Tamandua tetradactyla: one gene and its partners. The protein of the gene in region 1 purifies or fractionates together with the protein of each later gene. This does not show direct contact. Links are inferred from orthologs where the notes say so. Each region holds a gene or a part of one and is shown on either strand. Other genes may lie near its edges.

Region 1 (7,614 bases):
ACCTCTCAGCCACTGAGAATTTATTTTGTCTCATTTCTCTCTTCCCCCTTTGGTGAATGAACTCCACGTTGCCAGAGAGATCTATACTCCTGGGAGTCATGTCCTACATAGGGGAGGGCAGTGAGTTCACCTGCTCAGTTGGCTTAGAGAGAGATGCCACATCTGAGCCACAAAAGATGTTCCCTGGGGTGACTCTTAGGCCTAATTATCAGTAGGCTTAGCTTCTCTTTTTCAGGTTTCCTACTGTTTTTAAGTTGCCTTTTCCTTGACTGGGTGTTCACTCCATTACTGAAACCCTTTGACTGTTTTCCTGAACTCTGAGAAGGATGGTTCTGCCAGGGTTTGCTTGTTATTTAAAACTTCTGTGGGGAAATGGTACCCTAGAGGTTCTCCCTCCACCATCTTGGTGATGTCACTTTCCAAAATGGGAAATTTTAAGTTATATTCATGTTGCCATGATTTTTAAAAATCAACCCTGTGGGTGATGAGAGACCCTCTTTTCTTCTGGATTCGCGCTTCCACATGGAGGAGTTTGCACTGAAGTAACAGGCTAGTTACTGCACTAGTGTAACAGCCCTGGGCTCCGAGCCCACCCCTTGTCCTTCTGCCTGGAGGGGAGGCAGACCTTAGGCCACCTTTCTCGGCTGGATAAATTTCCTTAGGGGTGTTGGTTTCTTCTCTCTCTGCTTTGGATCCAGTGAGGAAGACAACTATGGACAGGGATATCTGCTCCACAGGCCATAATTTTCCAGAAGTGGACTGTCCCATGGCCCTGATGGGTAACAGAGGAGAAGAAACTCTCAGTAAACCCATTTGTTTACATGCCTAAGCCATATACCCCCATGTGCTGGTTTGAAATGATGTATGGACCCTAGAAAAGACATGTTTTAATCCTAATCCCATTTTGTAAAGGCAGCCATTTCTTCTAATCCCTATTCAGCACTGTATGTTTCAAACTGTAATCAGATCATCTCCCTGGAGATGTGATTTGATCAAGAGTGGTTGTTAAGCTGGATTGGGTGACAACATGTCTCCACCCATTTGGGTGAGTCTTGATAAGTTTCTGGAGTCCTATAAAGGAGGAAACATTTTGGAGAATGAAGGAGATTCAGAAAGAGCAGAGCAGAGCAGAACAACATAGCCACAAGAAGCAGAGTCCACCAGCCAGCAATCCTTAGAGATGAAGAAGGAAAATGTCTCCCGAGGAGCTTCATGAAACAGGAAGCCAGGAGAAGCTAGCAGATGATGACTTCTTGAACCAAGGTATCTTTCCCTGGATGGATGACTTAGAGTGGACATTTCTGTAGACTTGCTTTAATTGGAACATTTTCTGGGCCTTAAAACTATAAACAAGCAACTTATTAAATTCCCCCTTTTAAAAATCATTCTGTACCTGGTATATTGCATTCCGGCAGCCAGCAAACTAGAACACCCCATCTCACTTTATCAGAAGCAAAGGTGAAATTTTGATCTACATCTATCTGAGTCCCAATTATCCTATTCCTTTTATGTCTCACAAGCAGGGAAGAAGGATTATCAGAGGTATGCCTCCCCGGTATAAATAGCCTCACTGTGGCTGATTTCAAGCCATTGATGGTTTAACAACCATCTATTGGTATTTATTCCCTCAAATACCAATAGATTGGAAGCCAGGTTTCAAGCAAGGGAGTGTTTGATCTAATTTACGTTTTAAAAATATCACGCTAGACTTCTGCTTCTATTCTTCCCGCTATATAGAGCTAAAAAACCTGAACATAGTATATAAAACAAACATAGGAAGACTCTGAAGATAGAGAAAAGAAGACTGGTTAGGGAACTCACTGCCTGAGGAATGACACAGCAGTAAGTTCAGTAGGTTTCCTTTTTGCCTTGTGTATCCCAAACTGGGTGCTGGAGAAGCTGTTAACTATAAACACCGATTAGTACCCAAAAAACCTCCTCAAAAGTTTGCCCTCTCTAACCAACATATCAGGAAAGGGACAGCTAGCAGGAAATAAAACTTTAGAAAGTAGTCACTCTGTGCTAGGTAAACCCCATAGAGAAATCTGTGGTGCCCGCCCCACCCATGGCAGACAAGATCAAAAGGGAAGCTTAGATTTGTGCCCTCACCCAGGGAGAATGAGGCAGTCCTTTCCCCCCACCTCCAAGTGAAGGTCAGAGGAGGACCTGTGGAAAGTCAAGGCGTTCTCCAGCACCCAGCAAGAACAAGGCTGAGCCAACACTCACCTACACATGCCAGTGGTGTCACTGGAAGCCACTTAGAGAGCAGTGATGAAGCACCCTCATGGTCCCAATTACTGTATGGCAACTAATGCCAAGTAGAAAACCTGCTGTTCACCCTGCCCTGGTAATAGCAAGGTGGCACCCCTCCTTCCCCACAGAGCAGCGTCAGAAGACGACTACTAAACTAACACAGATGTATGTAAGAGCTAGTCTCATCCCATAAAACCAAAATGTCCAGGTTTCAATTGAGAATCACTCCTAAACCAAGAACCAGAAGGAGAAAAGACAAACAACAGAGACCAATACTGAGATGACACAGGTGTTAGAATTACATAACAAGGATTTTAAAACCCTGTCATAAAATGCTTCAATTAGCAATTATAAAAATGCATGAAATAAATAAAAAGATCACTGCTGATGTCCAGGTTTCTGGTTTTACTTAACACTTAACTCAGTGTCTGAAAGCTTGATTAACTCAGGAACTCACTTCTTAAAGTCAAGTACACTGTTGAGCTGGGCTGGGCTACTTTTTGAAAACACACTAGAATTTTGCATCAAGGTCTCAAAGTCGGGCACTGGGAAATAGGGGAGAGCAACTTAAAACTGTTTTTCCTCCCATACATACTTAATAGATACTTACTACCTGCCAGAGACTGTGCTAGGAGTTGGGATATAATGATAAATAATGCACAATTCTTGAGTTCAAGAAGCTATAATCCAATGAGAAGGGTAAATGCAAGACCGACACTAGGAAATCTGGCAGGTGCCACAAAAAGGTAAAAAATATGTCATTAGGGAAACCTAAAAAGGTGCATTATATGTCAAGAGAAGAATTAGACATGTTTTCACAAAATAGGTGGTCATTGAACATGGTCTTGAAGGAGAGGGGATTTACACAGGCAGGGAAGGAAGGAAAGATTTTATTGCAGAGAAAATGGCATCTCTGAAGGCACTGAGATAGAAGCCATGTGTAAATGCTGGAAATTGGGGCACTTTTGGTAGATTAGCATGTTCATATATGGGTAGGCCTGGGGAAGAGGGGAAAGTGTCTCAGTCTGAGATGTGTTGGAATGTAGATTGGGGCCCATCATGAAATTATGGTATCTAGATTCAGTTTCTTCCTCAGCAAAAGAAAGAGATTTGGATTAGCATCACGTTTCTCCCTTTGTGATGGCAGTATGTTCCAGGTCTTCAGGAGGCATTCAAATGGACACTGTGTATTTTCATAGTTAGAATTTGACCATGTGTGTTAACGCGTGCCTTCTATCCTGAGGTGGTGTCCGAGCCGGGCTGGGTGAACTTCAGGACTCTCATTGCCTCCCAGCTGGTCAGGAGGTTGACCCACCCACACACCTCCAGAGATGGCAGGCAAGTTATACCAAGTGTTATTTAAAGATAAATAGATGTTAATTTTTAAAGTGAGTTAACTTAAAGACCTGTATTAAGTAAATGATGGAGATGGCTACGCCTTGAATGGCTGCTGTCAGAGAAACTCCCCGCACCCTCGGCTCCAGGGTTCTACCCCATTTCTCACCCTCTAGGTCTTCAGATCTTGCCTTCTCAGGGACTGGTTGGTAAAGGCATCTCCACCTTGCAAGATGATCCAGTCTTCTAGAGACCTTCCCTAGGGTTGCCGAGGCACTTCGTTTCAAATCACCCATTTGGCACGTGCTGTATTTCGCAGCCGCTGTGCTCCCTCCAGCCGGGCTTCGTTTCAGCCGTGTGCTGGTCGCTGCTCCGGGCATCTATATTCCTGCGTCCATTTATTCTCACAGCAGCCTCACAAGAAGTGAAGACAGTCATTACCCCTGCTTTACAGGCGAGGAAAGCCAAGCACAGGGAGGAAAAGTGACTTCCCTAAAGTCTTCTCATTTATAATAAGTGGGCCAGGGTTTGAAAACACATCTTCTGGCTCTGGCTTAAAATGTTCTGTTTATTTATCTTTCTCTCAGGACCTAGAGATGGAGCCTGGGTCAAACTGAGAAGTTTGTCACCTGGGCCCAGCACAGCACCGGACACAGCAGCTGACCATTAATGTATTCGTGATGGACGGGAGGGGAGAAAGGAGCGCCCAGGTGAGCAATTCCGCATGGTGTGCTTTCCAGAGCCTGGGATGTGCCGAAGAAGCTACAAGAATAAACGAGCAACGCTGCGCGTCCACACCTCCCCACGGTCAGGGTCATGAATTGCAAGGCCACCCCCATTCCATCCCTCAGCGTCGGCTCCACCTTTTCCTTTCTCGGCACCATCCCCTCCGCAACCTCCGCTGCCCGGGTTTTCTCGGGCACTGGTCGCCGGGAGAAGTCCGCGTCTGGGAGCGCCCGGGCCCAGCAGGTATGCGCATGCGCAGAGAGCGCGGCGCACTGCGCATGCGGAGGACGGCGGCTCCGGCGGCCCGACGACCCGTGGGCAGCGCTGTCCTCCCGCTGCGGCTGTGACTTTGGGCGCGTGGGGCTCGTGGCGCGTTGGCTCGCCGAGCAGCCTGCTGGACGCCGCCCCCGAGTGGTCCCGGGCTCCGGTGCGGGCCCGGCCCCGGAAACCCGCGCGTTGGGGGCGGTGCTCGAGCCCAGCGGGAGAAGGCGGGAGAGCTCTCCGGGTGCGAGGGGCGAATGGCCGCCGGGCTCGACAGCATGAGTCAGCAGCGCCCCGCGAGGAAACTGCCCAGCGTCCTCGTGGACCCGGCGGAGGAGGCCGTCCGTCGCCGGTGCCGAGACCCCATGAGCGTGGAGAGCCTGCTGGTAAGCCCCGGGGAACTCTGTCCCGGGCGACCCGCGATCGTGCCGCCGGGGAGGGTCTCTGGGCGCAGTCCCCTCCGCGGGGAGCCCGCGCCGCGCGCCGTCCGGCCGCAGCTCTGCTGCGCGGGTGCCGTGGCTCCTAGGGGTCACGGACGGTGAACCAGTCAGGTCATTCGCTTTACTCCGTCGCCCGGTTATTGCAACTTGCTGTGCAAATGTGTTCGCTTTCCTGGCGCTCAACTCGAGGCCGCGGAGTAGTGTCGGAGAAAATTGCTCAGTTTTGCATTATGAATGCGAGTTGTTCCATCTCAGCTAGACTCTCGGTGTATCTCTGCAAGCTATCGTTTTTCTTCTAAGCTTCTCTCCCATTCTTCCGCTTAAATGCCGTCAATTTAATAAAAACACGTGCGTGCTTCAGGTCTTCTCACATCTCCCTGTTTAGCAAATTATCTTCCATTCTGTTTTCCAGAAAAAAAAATGGGTGGGAAATTTGGCTCACTTCCTGCAGAAGGCTAATTTTCTCTATAAGTGTTCTCGGCTAGATGCTGTTTTCTCTGTGGCTTACAGAGCCCTTGATGAAGCCATCATTTCCCATTTCTTCCTGTGGTTTCAACTTCTCTGCTAGCTTCTTCCCATAGTAATAGCTAAACATTTACTGAACAGTTATATCCAGTTTTCATGCCAGATAGCTTATGAACGTTATTTGATTTAATTCCTCACAGCAGTCCTAAGAGATAGATACTGTTGTTCTTGTTTTACAGTTGCCAAAATAGACGTGGGGATGTTAAATGACTTATCCATAACTAGTAAGTGGAGAAGCCTGGATTTAATCTCAAAATATCAGACTATAGATGATAAATTCTTGACTATTTAACTGCATCCCTTCAGTGATCTTAAACAGATGTCTGTCTGAAAATATACTTTCCTTAATTCCATAATCCCTTCATTTACTGTATCTCTTCCCTTTCTTGAAAAAAAAAAGTTGTTTGCACTTACTGTACTCACTTCCTCAGTTCTCACCATGTCAACCTACTCCTGTGGAAGTTTTGCCCTAACAACACCACAAAAACTGTTCTGACGTCATAGACAGTCTTATTAATTCTAGTAAAAATTCCTCTCCTTCGCTGTTATTTAAAGCTCTCTCCACTTAACTTCTGACATTACATACTTTTGGTGATCCATCTTCTTATCTAACCTCTCCTTGTGCTCCTTTGCAAACTTCTCTTCCCATTCCTTTAAATGTTGGTGTTATTCAAGTCTGGAGGCGTGACTGGAGAAAGATCCACTTCCAAGCTTATCCCTGTAATTATCAGCAGAACTCAGTCCCTTAAAGGTTGTTGGACTAAAGGCCTTAATTTCTTGCTGGCTCTTAACTGAGCCCTCCCTTAGTTCTTGCCATGCACGCCTTTTCATAGGACAGTTCACACATGGCAGCTGGCTTCCCGGAGATCTAGCCAGAGAGCAAGAGAAGGCGAACAAGATGAGCACTAGTCTCTTTGTAACTTAATCTTGAAGTGACTCTGTCACTTGCTGTGTTCTGTTCTTTAGAAGGGAGTCACTGAAATTCAGTCCACGCTCCAGTCAAGGTGATGGCACAGATCGAGAGTACCAGGAAGCAGGGGTACGGAATCATCTTAAAGGCTCCCCGTACATTCCACCCTCTGGCCCCCTATAATGATTCACAACCTTCCTCATGGAAGATCTACTCCCCCTCCAAAAGTTTTATTCCGTTGGAACATTCGTCGAAAGTTCAGAGTTGCGATCGGGTCCAGCTGTGGATTTAGGCTCCTTGAGTATAGTTTCTAACGTATAGTTCCTCAGGTATGGTTCTCTGGATATTAAATCTGTGAACCTGAAAAAATAAGTCGTCTGACTCAAAATATGGCAAACAGTGGCAAGATAGACATAGGATAACTGCCATAGACCTTCCTTTCATAAAGGAGGAAATGGGGTAACAAGTAAATGGTCCATAATCTGAAAACCAGCCAGGCTACTGTTGGAAGTTTCTTTTTTTTTTTTATTTAAATATTTTTATTGAGGTATCTTCATGCACATACAGTCCATCCAAAGTATACAACCAGTGTTGTATACAGTATCATCACATACTTGTGTGTTCACCACCATGATCACTTTTAGAACATTTGCATTACTCCAGGAAAAAAAAAAAAACAAACCCAAACATCCCATACCCATTATCGTTCCCTTTCATTGTTCACTAGTATTACACTCTACCCAGTTTTTTACCCCTTATCCCCCTCCCCCATTATTTATTTCTTTTTGTCCTTTTTTACAGTTATCTGTCGATATCCAGGACAAAGGGAGCATCAGCCACTAGGTTTTCACAGTGACGCGGTCACATTATAAAAGGTATATAGTTATATAATCGCCTTCAAGACTTAAGACTACTGGAATACAGTTCAGTAGTTTCAGATACTTCCCTCTAGCCACTCCAGTACATCAGAAACCAAAAAGGACTATTTATATAATGCATAAGAATAACCCCAGGATATCTATTGATTCTGTTTCAAATCTCTCAACCACTGAAATTTTATTTTGTCTCATTTCTCTCATCCCCCTTTTGGTCAAGAAGGCTTTTTCAGTTCCATGGTGCTGGGTCCCAGCTCATCCCTGGGAGTCCTGTCTCACATTGGCAGGG
Region 2 (7,783 bases), on another chromosome or scaffold:
TGAAACATTTGAAGGTTGTAAGCAGGGGAGTTCATTGATTTGATGTATGTTTTAGTGTGGAGAATGGATTGGAGGAGGATCAAAAGAAGTAGCCGGACCTGTTAGAAGCTCTCGTGCATTCCAGGTGAAGGATGGTGGTAGCTTGGTCTAGGGCAGAGACAGAGAGGGCATGCAGAAAAGCAGAAGAATGTTAAAAAATATTTTGGAGGTACCCCGCTGCCCTCCAAAGGGTGCCGGTTGTCAACCTGCACCCCTGCCAGGTGCAGCAAGAGCCGATCAGCCCTGAGGTGGCCTCCACGCAGGACTAAAGGCTCTCAGCAATCCTCATCTTCCTGGCATCTCTGCAGTGCCTGGCGGCAGCCACAAAATAAAATACATGTCGTGAAAGAGGGAGGTGGGCTGGTGTCCCAGCCCCTCCTTCCTGGACCCTGGGGCTCCTGCCCCGAAGTCTGGAGCCACTTGGAGGGAAGTGGGACCAGGTGGCTCTCCACGACTGTACACAGTAAACGCAGCCCCTCCCAGGGGCTGAGAACAGGGCATGCAGTAGGAGACGCCTCCACCCCACTTCTTGAATTTGGAAGAATGAGCCCTTCCAGAGTGATGCTGGCGACGGGGCTGGGCACTGGCTCAGCCCCGTGGGTGTGTTTTGTTCCTTATTATTTTTAAACCCTTAGAGAGCAATATCAGGAGCGCTGTTAATACGTCTGCCACCAGCAGGAAGATCAAGTTTCTTTAGAAAACCTTGTACTAAGTCTGCCCCTCTGGAAAATTCACAGCGGATGTTAGCAGGGCAGGCCTTGTGGCAGGGAATCCGGCTCCACTTGGTTTAGTGCTTCCAGACTTTATTTAGAGCTATGTGGTGTGGATGTCTGTGCATGTTGCCCCTCCCCTCCCCCACCCCATACCAGTTAACTGAAGACAGCCAGTGTAGAGAATGTTCTGGAAATGATTAAAATAATAATAATATATCATTCCCGGGAACAGGGGGAGCTCCTTTTTGACTGGATTGTTTCCTACCCATCCTCCTACTCCCCCTCCCTGCCCACCCCAGCCCGCCATGCTGAATGCTCCCAGGCCTCTTTGCTGGCTGGACCCCTCCCCAAATCTGGGACAAGGGTAGAGTTGCCAGATTTCACAACACAACAAGGCAAAAAGAAAACAAAACAGGGTGCTGAATTGTTTGGAATGTCAGGTAATAATTTTTTAGTATAAGTATGTGCCAGATATTTGCATAGGACATGCTTATACTAGAAAATTATTGTCTAATCTGAAGTTCAAATTTAACTCAGCATCCTGTAGCCTTACCTGAGGGAATCGAGTAGAAGCTTGGGTGGGAGCACCAGGGTTGCCTGACAGTTTCTGACAGGCTGAGCCCCTTCCTCCTGTCTCCATGTAGCTGATGGGGTGGGTGGTGGGTGGTGGCAGACAGAACTTAGTAAAACAAGGAGGATTCCCGCTGGCTGGTGAGGTAGCTGCTCTAACCTCCCAGTTTTTGCCAGATCCCGACTCTAAGAGACACTTAGTTCCCGGTTCAGGTGCCCTCTTGGTGCTCCAATTTCCAGCAGCTCACTCCCAAGGTGGGGAGGAATTGGAAGGGGCTTGGCAACCCCACCCAGCTGCCCTTGAAACCCATCCAGACAGTGGTCAGTTCCAGATTCTTAACTGTATTTTTTTCATGATATTGTTAAAACAGAGAGAAAACATTTAAAAAGCCCTTTAGCAAAAAAAAAAAAAAATATATAGGAGGTAATAATTAAATGTATGTAGTGGGTTTGGAAGTGGGGGTGGGGCAGAATATGTGAGGATTGAGGCCTGGACAACCGGGTGGATGGCAGCACCATATTCTGTAACGGTGAAAACTGGACAGGGATGGATGACTTTGGGTAGTTGAATGGAATGAACTAAGAGTTCCACTTACTTTGAGATGCTTGTGAGACAGTGAAGAAGAGGACATGAAGGCAGTTGGAGTTAGGTGGAAAGCACAGAACTGGTGATCTAAATCCTGCAACTTCTGGCATCCTCTCTTAAGATGAAATTAGAGTCCCTAAATCCATCTTCTCTGTGATTTATTATTTTTCACATCTCAATGTACATATCACCAACAGTATAAGAAAATAGAAACCTGAACTTTCCAGTTTCACAGCATTTCAGCAGGAGTCGGAAACACCAGACTACGGGGGAGGGAAAAAGGGCAGAGAGGGAGCCCTGGTGACAGTAACAGCTAGCATGAATGGAAATGGCCGTTAATTAGGAATTCAGTTGAAACAGCCTATTAAACACAGGTTGCTAAGCAACACTGGCCACCCCGGAACAGTGTGGCTGTTCCTTCTGTGGCAGAGCTCCTGGGCCTGGGTCTCTTTCTGTAGCATAGGTAGCATTTTGGCTAGTCTGAGCCATCTTTCTATACATGGACCTCATGTGAGTCATTGTCCCTCTCTCTCTCTAGGATCATAAATCTCTTGCTCTCTACTGGATCATTTCCCAAAACGACACAAATGTGCTCTAGTCACCCATACTACACAAATACATCTCTTGGATTCACTGCCTTTGTCCCCTGCCATATGCCATTTCTCCACTCCACCACTGCCCAACCTTTTGAAGGTTTGTCTACACATGCAATTTCTATTTCTTCTCTTGGCTTTCCATCTGTCCCTACACTCCACCAAAATTGCTTTTGTCAAGTTCACTTACTGCCTCTCTGACCTGAAATTCAATGACCACTTCCCTCTTTTGCATTTCACACAACTACCTACTTTATCCTTTCCGAAACACTGGCTTTTCTTGAGTCCCTCTTGGCTTTCCTCCTGTCTCTCTCCTTTGCAGGCCCTCACTGTTCAAAGTCATCAGCAAATCCATTTAATTCTCCAAAATCTACCCCAAATATTTCCACTTTTTTCTATCTCCACTGCCACAACTTAAATCCAGTCCACATCTTCTCTCCTCTGGATAGCACGGAAGCCTCCTAGCTGCTCTCGCCTATTATCCGAGCCCATTAATTCTCTACACAAGTCTTTAAAAAAAAAAGATTGCACCTATGATTTGCAGATGGGTGCTCGCTTCCACATTATCCGCTTCTGTGTGGTCTTCCAACAATTATTACAGTCTTTGGGGAGTGGTGTGACCCAAGTTGAGGCCAGATATTTAGAAAGGGCCAGGGTAAGAGTTCTTCATTGAAATATTTACTGCACGGCCACTGCTGCTGGACGCTGTGGCTACAAAAGTGAACAGGAGGACCCCACGGTTCCAGCCTTCACGGAGCTTCCGTTCCCAAACCATCCTCAGAGAGAAAGACCAACGCTTCCAAGCCCCGACCGCGGGCTAGGCTGGGCACTAACCGCCTTGGCGCCCGGCCCGCCTCCCGTGCACCGGTGACTCGACACAGGAGTCAGGTCGCCTCATCTGCACAACGGGGCTGCCAACCGGCTCTCCGCCGCCCCGCGCGTCTGGGATGCCTCTCGCCCCTCCCCCACACCCGCCCAACTCCCGGCCTGGGCAAGGGGGCGGTGCCGGCGGTCACGTGGCCCGGCGGGCGCGCTCGGATTCCGAGCGCCAACCGCCGGCGGCCCCGCCCCGCCCCCGTGCCCGCCTTCGGCGCGAGGCTGCTCGGCGCCCTCAGCCTGGGAGGCTGCAGCCGGCTGCCCATGCGCTCCCGGCCGGACCGGGGAGGAATGAGGCGCGGGCTCGCCGGGACTGCTGGACAGCCGGGGTCCAGTTTGGGGCGGTCAGTGATGGCAGTATACGGGAGGCGCTGGGGGGCGTAGGGGCCGCCCCGAGATTCTGGAGAACCACTGGAGTGGGGGCTGTCAGGGTTAGGACTCCCGCCGTGGGGTTGCCCCCCAGAGAGGGGGGAGGGGCGGCGAGCCCCTCCTTTGTCTTAGTTATACTGAGGTAAGGGGGCTGTGCTTGGCCAGAGCAATTCGCACTGTGCCTGACACAGAGCGAGCCCTCGAAAACTGCTGGTCTTGATTGCAACCACAGTGCGGTGAGAAAAGAGAAGAGGGAGTGACAACGGGGGCTGACAGGAGGTAACTGCCATTATTAAGCACCTCAGCTGGCCAGGTGCGGGCACCTCCCCTTCCTTCCCCAGGTGGCTAGGCGAGGCACCCGGGACAAGCATCTGCCCTGGGAGTGTGTAATTAAGAGGCAGAGCTGGGGTACGAACTTGGGACCTTTCACTCCTGACCCACTGCCCTAGGCTAAGGAAAAGGAATGCTTGGACCACGCTTTGAAAATTGGGTAGGGTTTTGATGGGTGGAGACCACTGAGTGAGCTGTGCCCTAATTAGCTGTAAAACCTCGGGAAGATCTTTAGAGCCATGCTTGGCTCTGTAAAAATGGCTGGACCTAGGAAAACTGATAACTAATATGTAAGTAGTGCTTTGCAATTTTTAAAGCACTTTCAATCACGTCATATGTAATTCTCACAACTCGCCCAGTAAGCGTTTTTATTAGCCCCATTTTACAGATGAAGAAATTGTCTTAGAGAAGTTTAGATAAGGGAGTAATGACAGAGATTTCCTATTGATTAAGTCAAATGGGTTTCCCCATACCAAGTTACCATGGATGAGAATACAGTTCTCTCTCCCAAACTCTTAACATGTTGTGCTTTCATTATCTGAGCACGAACCTACTAAATTTAAGACATTACTGTTGTTGGAGTTTCTTGCCCCTTCCCAACCACCAACTACCATATCCCAGCGACCAAGGTGGTGGTGAACAGCAGTTTTAATTTATTTTATTGGGCTGGTTTGGGCTGCCCCAAGTATGAAGAGCACTTGAGGCAAAGTGAAAACTGGAAAGTAATTGGGTGGGTTTGACTGAATTCTGAAAAGTTCAACCAGGTTGAATAATTCTCTAGCCAATTATTTTGAGGGCATTTGGTGATAATTGATCATTTTCTGTCCTTCCTGTTGACAGGTGTACCTCCTAGCAAATTATTGGAAGGAACATGAGAAATGTAAGTAGGGATTTTGAAGTAGCAGTTAAGAGAACCAAAATTGTTTACTTATAGAATAATGGCAGTTAATTTGGTGATATCATTTACCTATCAAACGGCAGGTACTTATCAAATGCCCACTTTTGAGGAGTGTATTTGTTAATGTGTGCAGAGAGGTTCTCCACAGGTGACAGTTGCCATCAGCGCTGACAAAGGTGCTATTTTTTTGGTTAACCTTTCCCAGAGGTCTGTGATATGTGCCAGGTGCCCGGCTAAGTGTTTTCACTTATTCTGTAACCTCATTTATCCTCACAACTATCTTAAAAGCCCTGAGCCGTTCTTACACTTTTTAGAAGGTAGGAAACAAGTCTCTAAGCATGAAGTAAACCAGTTCTGAAGGGGCAGACAAAAACTTAGCTTTTCACAGTGTGATCCGGGTTCAGGGTCAACAAATATTTAATGAACTTCACCTTGTACCAGGCACGTTTGAATATTTTATTTAATCCTCACAACAAACCCCCCCTCCCAATGCCTTTTGCTCATTTGAGCTGATCACCTCGAAATCAGCTAACAGGCATTTTTTTTTTTTTAACTAGCACATTCCTCATATGGAGCAAGTAGAGCCTCCGTCCCTGAATATAATGTTGTGCTGTGAGAAAAACAGCAATTCCTTTAATAAAATCCTGACATCTCAAAAACAGCAGTACAAAACAAAAATGTGGACCTTAGGCAGCAGATTGAGTTTCAAGGGCATTTTCTTCTGATGATTACAATTAAATCTGAAAACACCACTGGTTTCCCATGACAGACGCCCACAACTCTGATTCACTAGACTAATCACTCATCTGAAACTTGGATCAATTAGGTGTAACTTTTAAAAAATCTGGGGGAAGTCCAGCAGGGTTAGTGGGAAACTGGTTTGTAGATTTGTTATAAAAGTCCTCAGATGCTTTTTTCACTTTTTTTTTTTTCATGGGCAGGCACTGACAATTGAACTCGGGTCTCTGGCATGGCAGGTGAGAACTCTGCCTGCTGAGCCAATGTGGCCCGCCCCCTCAGATGCTTTTATATCCTGAATCAGGAAATGGTGACAGAGGTAGCCTTCCCTCTTAACCCCCTCCAACCAATCTCCGCAACTCAAAGTGATATTTTTTTTAACGATGATTTTTTTGGGGGTGGTGGGGGTGGTGGTGTTTAAAACCATTTAGTGGAAAAGGCAAATTTATAGAGACAAAAAGCAGATGAGTGGTTGCCTGGAGCTGGAGGTGCAAACATTGAATGCAGATAGGCATGAGGGAACTTTTTCAGATGATGGAAATCTAAATCTGGATGTGGTGTTGCTTATACAACTCTAAATTTACTAAAAATCACAAATTGTGCACATAAATCAGATACATTTTATGCTATATAAATTCACTTCAATAAAACTGTTTAACAAACAAAACCCTTCTTGGCTCCCCATCGCTTACCCTTTAGATGCTCAGAGGCTGTCTACCCCTCTAGCCTCTCCTGATGTGCCCAGTGTGTAGCTTGAATTGGAGTGATTGGGAGCTGGCTGCAGGTGCTCTGATAAAGGCTCTGTCATCTCAGTGCCTTTGCACATGCTGTCCCTCTGCCTAGGCTCTCCTTCCTGTTGTCTGCTAGGGGACACTTACTCTCTTTCTTCAAGATTCAGCTGGAGCATCTGCTCTACCAGTAAGCTTTCCCTGACTTTTCCAAATAAAGCCAAGTGACAATGCTGTTATTTTTAATGTACATATCTGGTACCCTCACCAAACTGAGCCCTCTAATCCTGATTTTTTCCTCTAGACCTCAGCAGGTCTCATGCCTAGAATGTTTGTTGAATAACTACATGTGCTGTCAGTATCCCCTTTCCATAGTACTTTTTTATGGGGAGTGCCCCTTCCTTCCTCCCTCCTTACCTTCCATTTGTTCCAGAGTGCTGAGGATTACTGTGGATACAAAAAATGAAAAATGCAAGACACTAATCCTCAAGGAACTCCCTATCTAGCGCAGGAGATAAGTAGTGTCAAGAAGGTGATTGATTATATGTCCTCACCTTCCTCTCTCCTAACCATCATCTCTGACAGGGTACTTATTCTTATGTAGGTTGGGGATGGTAGTGAAACCTACCTGATAGATGTCCTGTAAGAGTTAGATGGGTTGTAACAGAAAGAAATGTGTGCTGGCACTGCAGTGCACCTGGGTGTTAGGGCAAAGGTTCAGGAGATGCCTGGAGAAGCCACCACCTGAGCTGAGTTGTGAAGAATGAGTAGAAATTAATTTAACCTTCTTCAGTTTACCCCGATGGATAAGTGATGATTTGAATACATTGCCAAAGATTGTCACCCTTGTTGTTGATTAGGAGAAATACAAGGGCAGACATGCTTAAATTAGCTGCGCACTCAGACACAAAGATGAAGGAATATTACTTGTTGGTGATACTAATTTCTGTGGTTTGCCCCAGCCTCAATTTCCTACGAAATACTGCGTAAAGAATGGTTGCAAACCAGAGGTTCTTGGGCTGAATTCAGATTGCCTGAGTATTTTTTTGGGCCTATGCAGAATTTATAAAGTTTTTTTTTTTTCACTATAAAAGTTGCTGTTTATTTTCAATTTTTTTTGCTTGTCTCCTCTTAGCCCTTTAGGAGTCCACAGATGCACACCAGCCTGCAAACCCCACTCTGAGCACCACTGTGTTAGACCCTGTCCCATCCTGCTTATCCAGGGACATGGCTAGAGCTATTGCACAGCGCCACCCCACCAACCCTGCATCAGAATTTATCCCTCTATTAGATGATACCCATCAGCACACAAACCTATTATAACATCTCCCTGCTTGAAAAGG
Region 3 (7,797 bases), on another chromosome or scaffold:
AAAGATAATAAAGAAATTAGAGCTCATAGGTTTAACTTAGGGCCAAAATCAAAAGAGAAGAGACAATTCAAGAGAGGAAGGAAGAAGCTGAGAGGATCGCAGTGTAGAAGAACACTTACTTTTAGGAACAGAGTGTCCCTTAGACTTCTGGTGAGTTGCCCAGAGCCTCTTCAGTTTCAATCCAAATGACAATGCTTCTCTGAGTCCTCCTCAAGTAATGTTTCGACCACTAAAAATTGGATCTACAAGAGCTCAGAAGTACCGGTAAAAAAATGTCAGGGGCCCTCATGTGGGCCTCATGCCTCTTTTAAACTAGGCCCACTTCTCTGTCCTGGGCCAACTTCCCTGTGCACTATATTCCTTCTTCTTCCAGGTGCCAGGTATTCAGCCTGTTTCTTCTCTTCTGAGCTGCCACCACCTACTCTATTTCTCAGGGTTTCTCTAACCCCAAGACTGGCTGTGGAGTAGTAGGACACCAGCTTCCCCCCTTCCTTGCTGTCCCTGCAAATAAACATATAGGCTCTTCTAGTTTCAGTATTTTTCTAATGGCTAAAAGAAAATAGAGAGGGAACAACAAAAAGCAACAATATAGTACCAGAGATTAAGATTATAATAATTGTTTCCACTTTAAAATTCCTGCCTCCAAAAAAAATTTTTTTTCTAAGAATTGCTTATAAGCATTTAAAATAGTATAAAATGCTTTCATAGATATACAAATATAATCTAAGCTAACTCCAACCTATTTACCCATAGAGATACTCTACTTTTCAAAATACTTAAATCACGGGTCCAAAAGTGGTTACTATGTTCATTTTAGCAAATTGGTACTTTTCTATTTTTGAACTTTTCTGTTGTTTTAGTTCCTTAAATTTAGCAGTAGATATTTGAAAGTGTCCTTTATAAAGGATATCGTGAAAATGTTAAATATACTGTATCCACTGTAAAAGGAATATGCAAAAAGCATTTCATGATTTACAAAAAAGGCACATAAAAAAAGTTAACTTCACTGAGAAAAACCTTAAAAATCTAAACTTTTGTTTAAACATGTTTAAAATTTAAACATTTATCTCCACGTTAGAATTTTTTAATAAAATGCTATAAACGGTGTTTAAAAATCAGGGTATCAGGCAGGCCAAGGGTGGCTCAGCAGGCAGATTTCTTGCCTGCCATATCAGACACACAGGTTCGATTCCTGGTGCCTGCCCACGTGCAGAAAAAAAAAAAAAATCTGGATATCTCATTTTTAGAATCTAATCCTGATTGAATATTTAAATCCAATGTCAACATTATTTAGGCCCTCTTTTTTGCAGCATTAGTATATTTATTACTGTGATAATTTAATCACTAACAGACTGAAATCAAAATACAAATATTATCTAAATATTAAGCCATAAATCAGAGGACTGAATTAAACTGAATTAATTGAAAGGCAACCTTTCTGTAAAAGCAAAGGAACTTTGTAAGTAAGAGCTGGTGACAAGAATGTCATTAACTGACTACCCCGGATGATTTTCTTTATCCACTTAATTCACTTATGTAGCTTTTTAAAAGACAGAATTATTACATTGTAAGCCTACAAAACAGCGTTAAAACTGAAAACAGGCAGAGAACATTTCATCTCATTTTAACGTCTAATTGATTGCCATTTAATCGAAGTAAAGATATTCAGATAATTTCAGTAAAAATGCGTTTCTATTGATTGGCTCAGCTCCAACTACTTATCTATAAAATATTAGAGAAGTGGAATAAAAACACCAAACAAACCTTGATCTGACCCTTCCAGGCACTCATTTATAAAAAAAGAAATCTGATCTACTGTGCATTCTACAATCAGACACTTTTTTTTTCTTAAGGAACGAAATTAAATTACACCCTTTGCTCCTAAATTGGATTTCATGGTTTTTCCTTGATCCCCACACACTAACACAACAATGCGGCCAACATTATTATATCCGGGGGAAGGGAGGAGGGCATTACACTCTGCGATACGAATTAAATCGCAGTAGCTAATGTCTCGCTTAAATAATTTATTCTCTCTTGGCAATAAAAAACGTTGCAGCCTCTTCAATTACCCCACACCGCAAACCATCACTTGGGTCGCGATCAATCTGACCCAATTCCTATCGCGGCCACCACCTCAGTCTCGCCTCCTCTTGCCCGGTCTGCGAATGTCACGGGAAGGGGCGGCAGCCGCAGGGTCGTCCTCTGCGCCGCGATCAGTCAGCCGGCCGCGCGCGGGGCAGGACTCACCGGGTGGAGGTGCCCTTCCGCACATCGCACATCATGCACTTGAAGGCCTCGGCACTGTTCCGGAAGGTGCAGACGCTACAGTCCCAGTAACCCTCATCCGAGGACGGCTTCGGCTGCCGCTTCGGCCTGCAGGACACAACCCGGACACGACGCGGCGCAGGGTCACCAACAGGCCGCGCCCGCCGCCCCCGCTCCGCGGCCGCCCCCGCCCCGCCCCCCGGCCCCAATTCTGCGACCCCCCCAGCCCGCCCGCCAGCGGCGCGCAGCGCTTCGGCTCCGAGAGGGAAGAGGAGTGGGAGTCAAGAGCCGGGAAGGCGCGAGCGCCGCTGCAGCCGCCGCCGCTGACACAGGGGGTTGCCTCTCCGGCCGCCGCCGCCATCGCGGCTCCATTGTGGGGCGGCCGGCGCCAGCCCCTCACGCGCCAGCGCTCGTGGAGCAGCGGCGCCGCCCCCGTTCTCGTCCGGGTGCCCGGGCGGCGAACGAGGGGGCCCGCCCCAGCCCGGCACGAGGGCGCTGCCGCCGGCACAATCCGGGCCCCGGGGCCTTGGCGCTCTTACCTGGTGGGGCTCTTCTTGTCTCCCATGGCTTGGCTATCAGTGCACGCCGAGAGTCGCCGCCGCGGCAGCTCTGTTTATCAATAAGAAAGATAATAAGCCGGGCGGAAGCGGGCGGGGAAGGGAGGAGGGAGGGGGCGGGGAAGGCCGCACCGCCGAGCTGGGAAGCTGCCGCCGGATCCCACGCAGCCTCCAGCTGTCGGGGAAACTCCTGCCTGGGAGCACGTGACCCGCGCGCGCCAACCAGAGGCCGCGCCGGAGACTTCAAACGCTGCCAGCGCGGCCCAGCACCCGCGGCGAGTTCGCTGGCTGCGGGCGTTGCGGGGGCGGCCGCCGCAGCTTTAGGCGGCGTCGCAGCTTCTCGGTCCTGTTCCAGGCGCTTCCCTTCGGCATCCCGGCTGGCTGTGGATGTCGCGTGATGTAGATCCCCTCTGACCCTTTGAAGCGTCTGTCCAGCCGGCCAGAGGAGATGTTCCGTCATCCCGCTCAAAGCCTGGTCAAAGGTGGGGCTAGCCTTCTCGAGGTCAGCCCGGCTCGGGACCACGAGTGCCCTGCCGGGCGGCCCTTAGCCACTCAACACCCCTCCCCAAAGGATACCTGAAGGCAGGCAGGAACCAACAGTGAGCGCCATTGCTAGGTGTCTTAAAAACAGTCTGGTTTAATCTACGCAAATGCTCGTAAGGATTGTTGCTCTTAGTTTAAAGGAAGAAACCGAGGTTCAGGAGAGGTTTGGTGACGTCCTCTAGGTTACATAATTAGAAAATGGCAAAAACAGGACTCTAACCTGTTTTGATTCCAAACGCGCTTCTTTGGCCGTAGAGACCTCTGCAGGAGATGCTCTTAAAAGAAAACGAATACTTATAAGCCATGTTTTAAGATAATAATATGCCTGGAACGTTGTTGCCTAAGAAGGGAACGATGTTGCCTGTTCACGTATTCTCCCAGAGTCTCATTACCTCAAATACTGAAGGACCTTTTCACCTTGTGAAAACAAGATAGATTCGAGCAACAGCTGTTTAACTAGCGGTCTCTAAAGCTCTAGCCCTGCCATCCCATGTATTCAGTAAATCACAACCAGATTAATTATAAAAGGCTGTTAACAAGGCGGCCCACGGTGGCTCAGCAGCAGGGTTCTCGCCTGCCATGCCGGAGACCTGGTTAGATTCCTGGTGCCTGCCCATGAAAAAAAAAAAAAAAAAAAGGCTATTAAAATTGTGCCACAGCTCTGCTCAAAAACCTAACAGGTTCCAAACTCTGCCAGGCCTTTCTCAAATTTCCCTTAACTCCCCATCTTTCTTCAGAGAAGTTGCCTTCTAGCAAACACTGATAGGTTATATTCAATATTTCCCTTCCCAAAACTCTCCCTTCGTGCACATTTTACGTCTACACTGAATATTTCCTTCTTTCCTCTGTGCCTGTGCTATTTCTGCCCATTTTTCTAGGTTCACTTCAATAGGATAATATTATATAAAATGATTATAAATATATGAAATAATATTATAGTTAGTAGGGTCTTAATATAGAAGAAACACGCTGGCGTGCCCTCTCACACATACACAGAACAGTACAGAGTCCTGGGTTCTCGGCTTGGTTCACTGTTCCTTAACCAATGAGCCTTGGAAAACTTGATTAATTTCTGTAATTCTCAACTGCATCTGCAAAATGACAGCTATATTTATGAGGTTATTGTGGGATTAAAAATTATTTAAAAAAAAACAAAACAATTTTGAGCACCACGTTGCCAGGCACTTTGCAAATCTTTTTACATAGATGCATACTTTAAAGAGCTCAAAGTGCTATGAAATGTTAGTTCTCACCATCTAGTTGCATACCTTCGTTTTAAAGACAAGGAGTTTAGGGCCTGGGTTAAATGGCTTCTCTTTAATGAATTTTTCAAGTTTAGCACTCAGATATCCTATTAGTCTCCCACTAAGCTATGCTTTCTGATTAACCATATCAGTCCAATTTACAGCGGTCTCTGAACTTGTAGCACCATTTTTTCTTTTTGCAAGTGTTGCTTCTCTCAACTCAGACTGTTTCACCCTAGAAGGCGAGACTATGATTGAGGAAAGCATGGATCTAAGGCCTAGTTTTCTCAGCCTTATAGTTATATAAGAGATAGTTACATCTCTCAGTAATACAGCAGTAAACACAGTTAGGTTTCAGTTTTATTTCCATCTGTAAAATGAAGTTAAAACAATTATAACAATTCAGGTCCCTTCCAATCCTAAGGCATTATGTTTTAAATTCTTCAACTGGATGGATCATCAAAAAGATTGACTAGAATCGGTCTGCTTGTAAAAGGGATGCAAAATGTATTTTTGAATAAATAGAAAACTAAATCAGGCACTCTAAAAACGCTCCATGCTGTAAATCACCATTTTGCTAGAATATAAACTCCATCACTAGAAATTAAACTTCACCTCTAAATCGTAAGCTCAGAAAGGGCAGGCACTTTTATTTGTTGTCTTCGTCACTGCATCCCTAGTTCTAGAAGTCTGGCAGGTAATAAGCACTCAATAACTAGTCTGAGAATGAATAAATTCACCTGTGTCACAGTTCTTGAATAAAGTGTTTTTTCATACTGGTTTCACAGCCTTTTAAGCATATTAGCATGCAGTAGATGCTCAGTAAATGCTGGTGTTTATAACAAGTCTGCAAACTGAAATTTACAATTTTGCAAGACAGTTCTTATGGAAGAACGAGGAATTAGACCCAGTTTCTGTGGAGTGCAAAAGCAAATGCCTTGCAATCTACTAGCTGCCTACCATTTACTGGGTACATCTCTTTTAAAAATTCCTTCCTATTTTAAGCTTACATGGAGACACCAGTACAAGGAGCACCTCCTCCTACTTCACCACAAAAGTCACACCATTTTTCCTGAAATGTTTTCCCTACTATCTGGAAGAATGACCCAGGTTTAGATGACTCTTTGATACAATAACAAAGTTCCATCCTTTAGAAATGCAGTTCACTGGCATCACTTGTAAAGTGACATGAGTACTTTAACAATACTTTTAACAGTTTGGCAATAAAGTTCTGATATTTTCTAATGAAATTCTTTAACAATTTTAAAGAAATTAAAAGGTCATCGCTATAATAATATTCATTTCCATTCTAATACGATTCCTAGAATTGGAGAGACTGGAGAAGTTTCTGAAACTGCATGGCTTCACATGCACAGGTACACAGTAATATATTGTCTGTGGAGGTGTCAAAAAAGATCGAGAACTTCTGTCTTAGTTCAAGAGATTGACGGTAGGATCCCTGAGAACCCAGGCTCTTCTGCTTAGCCCTGAGTTTATGTCTATGAGGCAAACACAACAATTAAAAAAATATACAAAAAACTAAGCTTTAAAGATGAGTATAGTTATTAGACAACAGAGGTTGCCTGAAATGAGGAGTGCCATCTTTGTTTGTTTATCAACTGGAATTTGAGAGAAAAGAGCGTGACTTGTGACTAAGGGAGAAGCTGAACCACAAACCTTCCCTGAGAATAGAATGCAAAATGAAGAAAGTCAGTAATAAGCCACAATTGTAAAACCAATCACATTTTAAAAGGTTGTTTGGTTTTTGTTTGTTCAATCAGTTGTTTGTTTGGTTTTTGCAAAATGAAAATACCTTTACTGATTTTGCTGGTTATAAAAGTTATATGTTGCCAGCATAAAAACTTCACTGAAGACTCTTGTGTGTGTGTGTGTGTGTGTGTGTGTGTGTGTGTGTGTGTGTGTGTGCATGTGCACATAAGGTTGACTGGCTTATTTTTTTTAATAGATTTATCTTTTAGAGCAATTTTAAGTTTACAGAAAAATTGCAGAATACAGAGAGTTCCAATATACTCTCTCTCCTCCACGCACGCAGTTTCTCCTGTTATTAACATATTGCATTAGTTAGACATTTGTTATAACTTACAAACCAGCATTGATACATTATTAACGAGAGACCATAGTTCCCTCTTTGTTCTACATTTTTATTGGTTCAAGCACATAATGTCATGTATCCACAATTACAGTATCAAACAGAATAGTTTTACTGCTCCAAAAATACCTCTTACTCCACCTTTTTATCCCACCCCACCCCCCACTCACCCCAGCCCCAAGCAACCACTGATCTTCGTTTGCTATCTGCCAGAATGCAATATACCAGAAACAGAATGACTTTTTAAAAGGGGAATTAATTAAATTGCTAGTTTACAGTTCTAAGGCCAAGAAAATGTCCCAATTAAAACAAATCTATAGAAATGTCTTATCAGGCATCCAGGGAAAGATACCTTCGCTAAAGAAGGCGATGATGTTCAACATTTCTCTCAGCTGGAAGGGCACACGGCAAACACAGATCATCTGCTAGCTCTCTCTCCTGGCTTCTGGTTTCATGAAGCTCCCTGGGAGGCATTTTCTTTCTTCATCTCCAAAGGTTGCTGGCACGTGGATTCTCTGCTTCATGGTCCTGCAGCATTCTTTGCTCTCTCCGAATCTCCTCCTTCTCCAAAATGTTTCCCTTTTCATAAGATTCTGGTAAACTAATCAAGACCCACCCAAATGGGTGGAGACATGTCGTCACCTAATCCAGTTCAACAACCAGTCTTGATTAAATCACATCTCCAGGGAGATGATCTAATTACAGTTTCAAACATACAATACTGAATAGGGATTAGAAGAAACGGCTGCCTTTACAAAACGGGATTAGGTTTAAAACATGGCTTTTCTAGGGTACATACATCCTTTCAAACCAGCACATATAGTTTTATCTTTTTGAGACTATCATAAGGTGTAATCATATAGTATGTAGCCTTCACAGACTTTCTTTTACTTAGCAATATTCATTTTTTTCATGACTTGATAGCCCTTTTTTAAAAAGTCACTGAATAATACTCCATTTTATCAATGTACTAAAGTTTTTTTATTCATTCACCTACTGAAAAACATTTTATTGCTTTCAAATTTTGGAAAGTATGAGTAAAGATGCTATAAACATTCATGTGCAGATGCTTGTG

The links. Proteins that work in one complex are often made in the same cells at the same time.
Region 2: the proteins of E2F6 (region 1) and L3MBTL2 purify together in Homo sapiens (affinity purification with mass spectrometry; 5 studies listed by BioGRID and IntAct, counting the BioPlex papers as one, with this or other methods). This does not show direct contact. The link is inferred for Tamandua tetradactyla from reciprocal best matches to the Homo sapiens genes E2F6 and L3MBTL2.
Region 3: the proteins of E2F6 (region 1) and YAF2 purify together in Homo sapiens (affinity purification with mass spectrometry; 4 studies listed by BioGRID and IntAct, counting the BioPlex papers as one, with this or other methods). This does not show direct contact. The link is inferred for Tamandua tetradactyla from reciprocal best matches to the Homo sapiens genes E2F6 and YAF2.

The regions. Positions count from the first base shown.
Region 1 is NC_135329.1:65,714,240-65,721,853, reverse strand, and holds the start of E2F6 (transcription factor E2F6), read left to right. Parts: upstream 1-4,608; 5' UTR 4,609-4,832; coding exon 4,833-4,961; intron 4,962-5,954; exon of another isoform or gene 5,955-6,008; intron 6,009-7,614. UniProt on the Homo sapiens protein: Inhibitor of E2F-dependent transcription. Binds DNA cooperatively with DP proteins through the E2 recognition site, 5'-TTTC[CG]CGC-3'. Has a preference for the 5'-TTTCCCGC-3' E2F recognition site.
Region 2 is NC_135333.1:34,374,912-34,382,694, reverse strand, and holds the start of L3MBTL2 (lethal(3)malignant brain tumor-like protein 2), read right to left. Parts: upstream 3,013-7,783; 5' UTR 1,955-3,012; coding exon 1,919-1,954; intron 1-1,918. UniProt on the Homo sapiens protein: Putative Polycomb group (PcG) protein. PcG proteins maintain the transcriptionally repressive state of genes, probably via a modification of chromatin, rendering it heritably changed in its expressibility.
Region 3 is NC_135333.1:101,735,023-101,742,819, forward strand, and holds the start of YAF2 (YY1-associated factor 2), read right to left. Parts: upstream 3,013-7,797; 5' UTR 2,834-3,012; coding exon 2,808-2,833; intron 2,377-2,807; coding exon 2,251-2,376; intron 502-2,250; exon of another isoform or gene 120-501; intron 1-119. UniProt on the Homo sapiens protein: Binds to MYC and inhibits MYC-mediated transactivation. Also binds to MYCN and enhances MYCN-dependent transcriptional activation. Increases calpain 2-mediated proteolysis of YY1 in vitro.